Drosophila melanogaster: one gene and its partner. The protein of the gene in region 1 interacts with the protein of each later gene in a biochemical or structural test. Each region holds a gene or a part of one and is shown in the gene's direction. Other genes may lie near its edges. The genes, in order: eIF2alpha and PEK.

Region 1 (4,495 bases):
GAAAAACAACGCAAGCGATGAAAAGAATCGACAAAATAAAAACCGAAAAAGAATGTTAAGAAAAAAAAACGCACACTGCCCCTCACACACACCACACACACACACACACCACACACATACGCACACGCACGCACGTACAAAGGCGGCGGCGGCGGCGGTGTCGGCGACCAACGACCGACACGTACAATACACATGCACATTACTGTATGGGTGTGCGAGCGGCGAGGCGAGAGCGTGCGCGTGTGTTGGTGGGCTGGTGTTGCCTTTTTTTTTGCCCAAACCCCAAAAAACCGCGTGCATTATTACACATTTTGCCCAGATTGTCGGCACTCGCGCAATTCGATCGCATCGCGTCCACTTTCACAAGCACCGGCGGTTCGCGGCCAACGCGGAGCGTACGCTATTGCAAAAATAATTAATAATATTTACCTAGCGTGTTCATAACCACCTCTTCCAGCCATGTTTTATTTTTTTCAAATGAGCGAATTCGCTGCAAACCGCAGTGTGAACACACGGGCGAAAAATACTATCGCGGCGAATTTGGTCGGGCAGTGTCACCACACCAATTAGCTGATAGCCGCCTTTCTTAGTATTTTGGTCGTTAGCAGGGACGCATGCCCAATTGCGTCCAATTTTCAGATATCGATTAATATTTATAGTTGTTTAGCATTCTACAATTGTTCCTTTTCTAATGAAACATTCAAAAATGACATTGAATACATAGAGAGGAATACATATGTTTGTATAAATTTTTTTGTTGAAAAAAATAATACTAAAAGTAACTGGACACAAATGGTTTTTTTTAATACTGAAAATCTATTTAGCGGTATTTTTTTTTGGAGCACCAGGATAGTTCTTATCGTTATCGACAGTACAACTAATCAGCTGTGAAAGTACAAACTGCTATATTTTATATAGACTGAACTTAAAATTAAGTCATGGCGGACGACAACTGCATTTTCTGCCTAATTTCCGATGGGCGGATCCCCTCCACTGTTTTGGAAGTCGAAAACGATGACTTTGTCATCTTCCAGGACATTAAACCCGCTTCCCAGCACCATTACTTAGCAGTGACAAAAAAGCACTACGCTAGCCTCAAGGATCTTAACAAATCGCACGATTCTTTGGGTAAGATTGGAATTGGCGTGACCTCGGGCCATGCCCTAATAATTCTGATATCCTTGGATTCCTTACAGTGCAGCTCATGGAGAACGCCCTGAAGGATCTTCTGGTGTCCAAGGGAGTTTCTGTCGATGATGCCCTCTTCGGATTCCATCTGCCGCCGTTTATCACGGTGAAGCATCTTCACATGCATGCCATTAGCCCACGCACCCAAATGACCTTCCTATCTAAGATGATCTTTAGACCCTCCGTTTGGTTCAAAACCGTAAGTATTTGGCTATTCTGATTTTGACCACTTAGAGGCCCGCTTTAATTTAATCTTATCTATTTAATTATAGGTCGACGAGGCGCGTATTTACCTTTCCCAAAAAGAATAGATCGGGACCATCATAGATAACTGTTAGATAAATATATATTGTACTCGCGCGCTGTCATAATTAACTAATAAACGGAGCCAACCTATACAAATATTCTAATGTTCTTTAAATTAAAAGTGTAGCTTCTAAAAAAACCGATTCAAGCTACATGTCATTACATATTTAATGGCCTTTTTGTATGCGATAATATGCAACCTTTTAAAATGTTCTGCAAATTTAAACAGATAAATATGAAAAATGAAAATTTGACATATGGGAATTATCATCATAACATGGATAAAAAGTGACATATAGATAAAAGAACAACTGCTTTTTATTCCTATTTATCAGTATTAGCAATCTATATAACTTTTTGAGAATTTAACTTTTGGGTCAATTTTCGCAATTTTTGTAATATTGCAATAAATTTAACAAAAATTAACATTTCCAATTTGAAATTGATTGGTATTTAAATAACAAGCTCGCCAAGGGATGGCATTCCACATTTGGACTATTATTTCGAATGTTCTGATCAAAATTAAAACCAAAACAGTAAAATTTGAAATTGACCGGCAATCCATGTGACAAACAATCGATAGACCGCTGCTGCCCCACCTTTCCAGTGTGACCAGAAGCAATCCAATTGGCAACGTTTTGCCGGCTACGCAATTAAATATCGATAACACCACTGTCATACCTTACGCTTCTTCTTCTTGCGCCCGCTCGGCAGAAATTGTACACGTTTTTCATTTCGAAAAGTCCAAATTGCCCATTTTTTGGCCATAGACCACAGACTTTAACATGGCCCTGACGTCGCGCTTCTACAACGAGCGGTATCCGGAGATCGAGGATGTCGTTATGGTGAACGTGCTGTCCATCGCCGAGATGGGCGCCTACGTTCATCTGCTTGAGTACAACAACATCGAGGGCATGATCCTGCTGTCGGAGCTGTCCCGCCGGCGCATCCGCTCCATCAACAAGCTGATTCGTGTCGGCAAGACCGAACCGGTGGTGGTTATCCGTGTTGACAAGGAGAAGGGCTACATCGATCTGTCGAAGCGTCGCGTTTCGCCCGAAGATGTCGAGAAGTGCACCGAGCGCTTCGCTAAGGCCAAGGCCATCAACTCACTGCTCCGCCATGTCGCCGACATACTCGGCTTCGAGGGCAACGAGAAGCTGGAAGATCTCTACCAGAAGACCGCCTGGCACTTCGAGAAGAAGTACAACAACAAGACGGTCGCCTACGACATCTTCAAGCAATCGGTCACCGATCCCACCGTCTTCGATGAGTGCAACCTGGAACCGGAGACCAAGGAGGTCCTGTTGAGCAACATCAAGCGGAAGCTGGTCTCGCCCACTGTCAAGATCCGTGCGGACATCGAGTGCTCCTGCTACGGTTACGAGGGCATCGACGCTGTCAAGGCATCGCTCACCAAGGGCCTGGAGCTGAGCACCGAGGAGCTGCCCATTCGCATCAACCTGATAGCACCGCCACTGTAAGTACCTGTAAACTATTGTAATTTCCCTTGGTGTAGACGAAATTAACGAGGGTTTCTTTAATTAAAAGAATACGAAAATTGTAGATTTCTGTTCTTCATTTTAGCCGAAATTTATCGTTAAATAATAAGGAAATCCCTTTCATCTTGTATATATTGTAAATGACCACTTGGTTAAGAGAAAAACTTATATTCAATTTAATTTTACAACTTCTTGTGAAATCGAAATAACTAAAAATGTTGCTTAAATGAGTTAATTGGTTCCTAAACGTAATCGCTCTTCATCCGTATCCTTTTAGCTATGTAATGACCACATCCACTACCAAGAAGACAGACGGTTTAAAGGCTCTGGAGGTGGCCATTGAGCACATTCGCGCCAAGACCAGCGAGTACGATGGAGAGTTCAAGGTGATCATGGCACCCAAACTGGTTACGGCCATCGACGAGGCGGATCTGGCCAGACGCCTGGAGCGCGCTGAGGCCGAGAACGCCCAGGTGGCTGGCGACGATGACGAGGAGGATGGCGCCGACCAGGAGGGCATGCAGTTCGATCCAGAGAAGGAGTTCAACCACAAGGGATCGGGGGCGGGTCGTGCGAACGAGGAGGATGAGGAGGAGGAAGAGGATTAGCGTAGCCACAGCATCAGACACAACTATAGCAACTGTAACAAACAATTAAAGGAGTTTTGCAAAAATCAGAAGTTGTAATTTTATAATTTATATACATAACATATAACGAATGCTATTAAAGATTTATAAAAGTGAAAACAGCGAGATGCCCAAGAAGACAAATCAAAATGCGCTTGCTCATCTTTTTCTTTTCAAATCCAAAACAATACTATCGACCATTTATTATTGAACCCAATTCAGTTTTTCTTGACAGACCCTTAATACTAATTCAAATTGTGTATAAGTGTAATATTATTTAATAGTCAGGCATTCTTTCGTTTTTCTTTTGTATTTACTTGTTTCATGTTTTCGTTGATGCGGCTTGTTTCCATCACCGTCCAGATTTTCATTCATTAAATTTTAGATTATATCGCTTACTATTCTCTCTAGAAAAAACCAACCCACCTCTGCTTTAAAAATGACCCGGTAGTGCTGCGTAGCACCCTAATTAGATATTGTACATCGTAACAAACGATTCGTATAAAAAAAGTGACATCAGTTTATAAACATTTCACTAAATTAGAAAGGTTTTCGTTTCGGTATTCATTGCTTTGTGGTTGTGTATAGTCCTTACTATTTCCTATTTGACTTTATATGTGGCGTGGCGTGGCTTATTATTTGGTATTGCTCGGAGTATTTCGTTGGAACGGCTTCCAGTTAATGGGGTCCAGTCTGTTCATCATCCTATTGCAATCCGGTTTCTGGCTATGGGGAGTTCGGCTTTAGGTGGTGGTGTGGGCTGTGCGTCTAGCCGCGTTCAGCTGAGTTCGCTCCCCGAGGCGGCATCGTTGCGGTGGAGCAGCACGGACCTGGCCGCCTGCTTGTTACCGCCGCACAGGCGCAGCACGGTAA
Region 2 (8,060 bases), on another chromosome or scaffold:
TTTTTAACGTGATTTCAATAACTTCTTGTGGAAGATTAATAAGTGATCCGTGTTATCAGTTTTTGTTTTTATCATTAAATGTTGCCCCAGGCCGGTCGGGTACAGGAATTTTCACCAGACTCCGCTTTATTTTTATATAAAATGATGTTTTTAATGTACTGTTGCCCAGAGCTGTGCACCTCAATATCTTCAATGTTTAAAGTACTTTTCGTTTAATCAAATGCATGCAAATGATCGAAACCCTCAAGCCCCAACGAATACCTATGATGAATGCCTACGGCTCTAAAGATTATCTTTTCTCATCCACAGCTAAGCCATGGCCGACACACAAGCCAAGTCCACTACTGCGCCCAAGGCCGCCAAGGCCCAGAAGGCTCCCAAGGCCGTCAAGGCGCCTAAGGCCGAGAAGCCCGCCGCCTCAGAGGCTAAAGTTTCCGCCAAGAAGTACAAGCGTCACGGACGCCTCTTCGCCAAGGCCGTCTTCACCGGCTACAAGCGTGGTCTGAGGAACCAGCACGAGAACCAGGCCATCCTCAAGGTATGTCTATACTTCAATGTGATGGGTCCGGACTTCACAGAGTTTTTCAAATAATAATTAATACATTCCAGTTCTGTAAAAACATTTTAGTAATGTAATTGATTAACCAACATATTACATTGCAGATTGAGGGCGCCCGCCGCAAGGAGCACGGATCCTTCTACGTTGGGAAGCGTTGCGTCTATGTCTACAAGGCCGAGACCAAGAAGTGCGTGCCGCAGCATCCCGAGCGCAAGACCCGCGTCCGCGCTGTCTGGGGCAAGGTCACCCGCATCCACGGCAACACCGGCGCTGTGCGTGCCCGTTTCAACAGGAACCTGCCCGGTCATGCCATGGGCCACCGCATCCGCATCGTTAGTTCAAACACACCTTTTCTGTCCGACAATTGGGTTGTATTAACATGCCTTCTTTTTTCTTGCAGATGCTGTACCCATCAAGGATTTAAGTTAATATCCGACTTGAATTACTGACCTGCAGGAGTAAAAAATCCGTTTTACATTAAATGAAACACTTTAAATTTAATTAAAACGCAACTTGGCTTTTTTATTAAGGCGAGATACCGATTGAAAGTTGACGGTAATCTGTATATCGATTGATGGCTGTTCGGTTTGACTTTCCCTACTGCAATGAATTATCTTTTGGCGGGACCATCCACTTCGCATTAAAATCCATTTATATTGATCTTAAGTAGCAGATGAAGACGATGGAAACGTTTTAGAGTACGAATTGAATGTGGATTTCGAGACTCTTGGCTAATGTCGTTCCTTTAGATCAGACATACCACTTCTACCATAATAGATTTTAATTAGTTTTGAAAATCTCAAAACTATTTTTTGTATTGCCAAAGTCAACGAATACTGTAGTGTGTACTACTAACGAATCTTTTCGCAAGGACACTAGGGGTGTATGGCGTAGCCTTTCTGCTCGAAAATCATACGAATTCAAGTTTCTGTTAATCAACAATGCGGTTTCTAAAAAAATCAAGGAAATGGTTTCATAGTAATCAAAAGTTTTTTAAAAAGAATAAATGTTGTAATAAACGTTTCTATATTATGACGAATATACCACCTAACATATTTTTAGAAGGTAGAGCATATTTAAATTAAAGTAATGTTTGAATTTCATTTGGTATGTGTCAGAATTATAGCCGAATAGAATTTATTTTTAAAACACGTCGAATAATAGAAGTATTCAATAAGAGATGAGATGGAAATAATACTTCATCTACTTTAATAATTATTGTTAAGTTGTCCCTATTTGTGTCAAAACATGGGCGTCAAACATTGTTTTAAATTAGTTACTGGAAAAGTTTAAAATAGTAAAACCTTAGTGAAACTGTTCCCACCGTGTGTATTTTTTTGGTACTTTTAGGTAATGACGAAATAAACTGTATTGTGGTGTCATCTGTTATTTTAAGGCTGTCAAAACGCGGTCACACTTGCAATCGCGCGTTTTGCGGCCCAATCGGAACAAAAACATAAACTGACCAGTTTTAGTGGATTTAAATAGTGGAGTTGCGATTGATTGCTGCAGGAGCCATCGAGAGTGATGCGGAGATGTGCGCCGACCTTGCCGGGAGCCACTGCCGCCGCTGTTCCACCAACCGACCCCCCGAAGTGAGGTCAACACGTCACCGTTCGAACCAATTAGAGACTTGCATTTCTGCACCGTTCCCCGCGTCCGATCGCCAACGACCAGGATTACGTTATATGCGCGTACGATGCAGGACGACCTGGATGGCATCGTGAGGCATCGTCGCCGGAGCCTGAGCTTCCTGCAGATCGTCACGCTCACTATGGCCGGCCTGGTGGCTTTCGATCCCGCCCAGGTGCTAGCTGGGCACCCAACTACTGATTCGGAGCTCCAGACTGCCGGATCTCCCCGTCCCCCCGGGCTCGAACACTGCGTAGATCAGGAGGAGCGTCGCGTTGCAAGAAGGTACGTACCCTAACCAAAGTATCGGGAGGAATGCACTGGTATCGAATGGATTGTAGCAGAAGAAGAAGAGTGCGTTATGTGTGTGTTATGTTTATGTTCTCGAACATTCGCTAAAACGCGGTGCAAGTGGATAAACGAGCAGCCAGCACCTAGGCAAATATTGCGAAGAACACGTTAGTGATATTTGGTTGAACTACTCGAAAAGTGCCTATTTAATCAGCTAAAACGGGGAATTCGAAGAGAACTGTGGTACGACGGGGGGCCAGTGAAAATACGTAGCTCAAAATTCTCGGCTGATCCGACAAGTTGGTAACATTTGCGACGGCCCTTAGCTTTAAGTACCTTGTCCCGTCTAACACGAGAAATTCGGAGAGCTTCTGTTCAACTTGAAGTCTGGGAGCGATCTGATAATATGAACCCACATGTTTGCACCTTGGCCAACTATGAAAACCCGTAATCAGTGGACGCGCTTATCAAGCATGCGGTGAGTCATTTGCAAGATCTTAACTGAATTTTTGTTTGAGGCAGACGTCTAGATATGTTGTTTGGCAAGCATGCCAATCCGAACTGGTTTCCCCGATTGTTTTGCTTTCCTTTGCGTTTGTGCAAGGTTTTCACTGAATTTCACAATTCTCCCCCCGTTTGCTTTATCCCCCCTTTTTGCGGGCGCCATTTTCGGCTCCTTGGTGGGCGCGACAGAGATGGCGATAGGGGAAATGGAGAGGGGCCAACTGACACTTGTTGTTCCTCGAGTTCTTGTCTTCTTGGCGCAAAAACAGCTGAGTTTACTTCCCATTTACCTTTTCTACGCTGTCAGCTGGGTCTGCCAGTGTGCCCCTTTTCCTGCTTTCCTTTATTCTTGCCCCATGCACCGTGTACCTGGTGACGGAATCGGTTGCAAGCACAAATCAACTTTTTGTATAATTGCAAATTTAACTCTAGTATTTAATCTTTCGAGTTGAAATATTTTAAACAGTTAACCAAAGGCTTACTCACTTACAGAAAATTCAATTTTTACATTAATTGCACGAATAGAAAATATTACATAAAAATCAAATCATTACTTGAATCTATGTATGCTGTGTTTTTTGTTTTTTCTTCAAAATCTTGTGTTTGTTTATTTCAAGCTCGCCCATGGTAATTGGATATTACCTACATAAAGGGTATACGGTATTCTTATATTTAACAAGAACGGCTTTTAAAAACATATTGGCCTCGCCCACTCTAAATTCCACAAGCTACAAAATCCTTGTTACGCTGACACGGTATCATTTAGCGAAAATAACAATTTGGCAAATTCCGCCATTATGGACTATTAGCTAATATGGAGTAGTCGATATTTATTTATTAAATATGGAAATAAAAACATTAAAACTTGGTATTGCATTATTTATTCTATCCACAGACTCCTATACATTTCCACGCTTGATGGTCGACTGAGCGCTCTGGACATCGCCAAGTCCGGCAAACTGCGCTGGAGTGTGCCCACCGGACCGGGGCCACTAATCTCGTCCAGCATCCATCGATTGGAGCTGACCAACAATGGGCAGTTCGTACGCATGATTCCCTCTTTGAGCGGCGGCATCTACAAGTTCGACGGGGACTCCATCGATCCCATTCCAATCACGGCGGAGCACCTACTCAGCTCGAGCGCCAAATTCAGCGATGATCTGGTTATATCCGGAGGCAAGGAGACACGCTCATACGGTGTTTCCGTTCGCACTGGCCAGCTGCTGTATGAATGTTCTCTAAACGGATGTGTAAACTCTACGGAGGAAGGGCTTGCAATCGACGACACCATTAGGGAGCCCGATGAGGAGGATCAGCTGGAGGACGGAGAACAGTTAAGGGACGAGGCCGGCTACATAGTGCGCCATGATCCTCTCCTTGACGACGTTATTATCGTCCGCCGCCAGACACAAACGGTTCGGGCCGTGGAATCCCGGACCGGAGTGGAGCGTTGGAACTTTAGCGTAGGTCAGCATGAGTTGGATCTGGTGAGACCTTCCGAGTGCCAGCTACAGCCGCGCGATGAGCTGGAGCTGGCTGTTTTGGATGTGGATATAAAGGTGGTAGTGCCCGAGGGAATTATCTGCGCCTTCAGCAAAAGTGAGCCACAGACTATGCTGTGGAAGTACAAGGTAAGTGGTGATGGCTTTAATATTAAAGGCAAATTTACTTAGTACTTTTCGTGTGCTTTTCAGTTTGATCACCCAATTGTGAGTGCCTGGAATACAAATGCCGACGACGAATTGCAGCCTATTGATTTGTTTAGCTCGGCCCAGTGGCTTTGGGACCAGGACGAAAATGACACGGAGCTGCCCAATGCGCCACAAAGCCCGCCATCCATCTACTTGGGCATGTACGATAAACAGTTGTATATTCAGGAGTCAATACGTCTACGCCAGGAGATTATGGACCAGACCAAGGTCTATCAGCAGCTTACAGGCGACACCAGCCTGATGCCCAGGATTCCCTGGAAGCCGATATCCGCCAGTAGCAAATCGCTGGTAATCTTCCGGAAAGACCAGGAGGACCCTGAAATGATTGCTGAGGGAGCTGTGGCACAAGGAGGGGAACTGGTGCCCTATGATGATGAAAACTTCGCTGTGGCAGCGCAGTCCGTATTGAATGCATCGGAGTTTGTCAATGGCAATGGTTTTTACTTCTACACCACTGGCGATCTGAACGGCCCGCAAGAGTGCAGTACGCAGAATAATCCAACTGACCTTCCAGCAATCACAGCTCCAACATCGCCTACCAATGCCACATCTGAGGGAACGGAAGCTACTGGAAACCATAGCGTCAACGACGATTTGGGCTTTAGTTTGGATGACATTGATGCGCCTGTAAAGGTTGTGATATTGTCGTTGTGGTTCTGGTGGAAGGAAATCGTGGTCATAGCATTTACGTCGGCTGTGATTCTAAATATTTTCATGGGCCAACGAAACCAGCGCGTGGAGCGAGAGTATCTGGTCATTGAACGTCATGTGCCTGTTCAAACGGCCATCGAGGCCACCGAAGCATCCACACAGGCTTTACTAGGTCCAGTGGTGCCGATGCAGCGACCTGGAAATCGTTTTAGCTTCCCACCTGGACAAGCAAATCAGCGCACCATTTCGGAGTCTACAACTCATTCAGGCGAGCATTACACTTCCCGCTTTCAGTCCGACTTCGAGTTGATGCAGTGCCTTGGTCGCGGTGGTTTCGGAGTGGTCTTCGAAGCTAAGAACAAGCTGGATGAGAACCGATACGCCATTAAGCGCATAACGCTACCCAATAAGGAATCTTCAAGACAGCGAGTCCTTCGCGAGGCTCGAACTTTGGCTAGTTGTGAGCACCACAACATCGTGCGATACTTCCATGTAAGTTCTTCTATCTATTTAAAAGTTAAAATTAAGTTTTTAAGTATTATCTGATGATAAAACTCTTTATTGTAAAATTTCCAGTCCTGGACCGAGACACCGCCGACTGGTTGGCAGGAAGAAGAGGATCGCAAGCTGCTTGCCCACGAGCTGTCCACCTCTATCCAGATAGAGACGCCGGACGATAGTACAATGCCTTCGTTGACGGAGCAGTTGAAGGAGAAACGCCAACAGCAGCTCTTGTCCTGGGTTTCGGATGCAGCCAATAGCACCGCTTGTAGTCACGACTTTCATCTACCAGGCGAGTCATCACTCAAGAACATACGCGAGGAGTACGACTACGATGAGGAAGAGGACTCGCTCATTGAATTCCGCAGCGAGTCGCAGTCAGCCGCTTTACGGGCAGAGGAGGAGGATGATACCGACGACGACTATGAAGAGGATGAAGAGCAGCAGGGAGACCATGAGAAACGACATCGCAGCTCCGTGTCCATTGACATCCATTCGGCCTCGTTTGACCTTAAGAACATAAACTACTCACAGCACCAACTGGTCTCCAATTCGTTTCAAATCGAATCTGTGCGCCCCAAGAGCAGTGGAAGTGATGATGCGAATGACGATAATAAAGCTAGAAGGAAGCCCCTTACCTTGGCACTGGCCCAGAATCACAATAACAACCAAAACGGGAGCCAACCTACGCCCTCCAGTGCCACGATTCTGAACGGAACGGTGGCCAAGCCCAGCAAGGTGTACCTCTACATCCAGATGCAGCTATGCCGCAAGGAGAGTCTGCGCGACTGGTTAAGGGACAACCGGTCGGAAACAAGGGCTGCCCACATTGGTGACATTTTTCACCAGATCGTTGATGCCGTTGACTATGTACATTTGAAGGGTCTGATTCATCGGGACCTGAAACCAAGCAACATATTCTTCTCGCAGGATGGACAGATAAAGATTGGAGACTTCGGGCTCGTCACCGACATGGCCGATATCCCCAACCTGGTGGCCAAGTGTGGGGACCAGAGTGGCCTGCCCTCCTGTGCCCGCCACACCCAGCAGGTGGGCACCCACTTATACATGTCGCCGGAGCAGCTTTTGGGCCAGCACTACGACTACAAGGTGGACATCTATTCACTGGGACTGATCTTCTTCGAGCTGCACGTGTACTTCAGCACTGAAATGGAGCGGATCAAGACACTGCGCAGTCTTCGGGACGGCCAGTATCCCAAGGATTTCGCTGTCAATTACCCGCAGCAGTACGACTTGCTCCAGCAAATGCTATCCGCCCAGCCAGAGCAACGCCCGCAGACCAAGCAGTTGAAAAGCCAGCTGCGCAACATTCTGCAGCTACCTCATCTCCTCTCGGAAGGACAAAGCGAGCAGGCGGAGCTGGCGGAGCGGGCCAGGCGCCTGAGTCGCAGCCGCACCTTCAGCAGCTCCAGTGAGCCGCATCAGTGATAGATCAGACAATTTGGGCCATGAGCTTGGACACCCATTCTGTCAGCGCCAAACTCAGTCACTTATAGCATTTCGCTTGTGAGTCATCAGTATCGCCATCGCTTATTCCTTACCTGGCTATGCCTTATTCGCTGACCTCGACCCGTAAAGGTCGCAGATTCATTACCGGGCAACCCTAGATTCAATAAGTTTTGTATTACGTTTACCTTTACTCTTGCGCGTCGCAAATTACCAACAAAATGTCCTTTTGTTTTTAAGACTTAACCTTAGGAATTATACATACACATAAAGATGTACTCCTAAACAGTCGTTAGCCTAAGTTACCTAAGTTACCTACGATGCTAAATTGTTTGTCTTAGTTTGTTTCTACCCATGTAGCCGCCCAACCAATGCGAGAGTTTGTTTTTAGTCGTAGGCGATAAGATTAAAATAAAAATGTCAAAAATAGAAATGGAAATGTTTTCTAATTGCCCATAGAGATAATGGTTGTGACTAATCGCTTGGCATACCTTAAAGCAGTCGCCGCATGCGGCAACATTGTGTGTAGTAATGAAATTGGTTGAGGCGCTGAAAAGTCTTACATAAATGATATACGCAATAGGCCACTAAGTAATTGTGTACGTACTTCTGATTGAGGGAAGTCGCAGAGGTGATGAAACTCATGGTTAACAAAATTCTTGTCATTTTTTTGTTAGCTGTTGTTGAATAAACATTTTTTTACATTGAGCTATTTATAAAAAATTTAAGGATTAATATTAGAG

What was found.
Region 2: of the proteins of eIF2alpha (region 1) and PEK, one has a biochemical effect on the other in vitro, tested with the Drosophila melanogaster proteins (one study listed by BioGRID).

What each region holds. Positions count from the first base shown.
Region 1 is NC_004354.4:16,444,664-16,449,158, reverse strand, and holds eIF2alpha (eukaryotic translation initiation factor 2 subunit alpha), read left to right. Parts: upstream 1-2,165; 5' UTR 2,166-2,279; coding exon 2,280-2,974; intron 2,975-3,273; coding exon 3,274-3,604; 3' UTR 3,605-3,983; downstream 3,984-4,495. Other genes in the region: eIF4H1 (eukaryotic translation initiation factor 4H1), read right to left, coding at 430-461; CG34015 (uncharacterized protein), read left to right, coding at 939-1,128, 1,197-1,387, 1,461-1,499; rngo (rings lost), read right to left, coding at 4,401-4,495. UniProt on the Drosophila melanogaster protein: eIF-2 functions in the early steps of protein synthesis by forming a ternary complex with GTP and initiator tRNA. This pre-initiation complex mediates ribosomal recognition of a start codon during the scanning process of the leader region.
Region 2 is NT_033777.3:5,458,631-5,466,690, reverse strand, and holds the start of PEK (pancreatic eIF-2alpha kinase), read left to right. Parts: upstream 1-1,937; 5' UTR 1,938-2,258; coding exon 2,259-2,476; intron 2,477-2,795; exon of another isoform or gene 2,796-2,898; coding exon of another isoform or gene 2,899-2,960; intron 2,961-3,570; exon of another isoform or gene 3,571-3,610; coding exon of another isoform or gene 3,611-3,639; intron 3,640-3,881; coding exon 3,882-4,617; intron 4,618-4,680; coding exon 4,681-5,841; intron 5,842-5,925; coding exon 5,926-7,299; 3' UTR 7,300-8,060. Other genes in the region: RpL35A (ribosomal protein L35A), read left to right, coding at 317-538, 664-891, 960-983. UniProt on the Drosophila melanogaster protein: Phosphorylates the alpha subunit of eukaryotic translation-initiation factor 2 (EIF2), leading to its inactivation and thus to a rapid reduction of translational initiation and repression of global protein synthesis.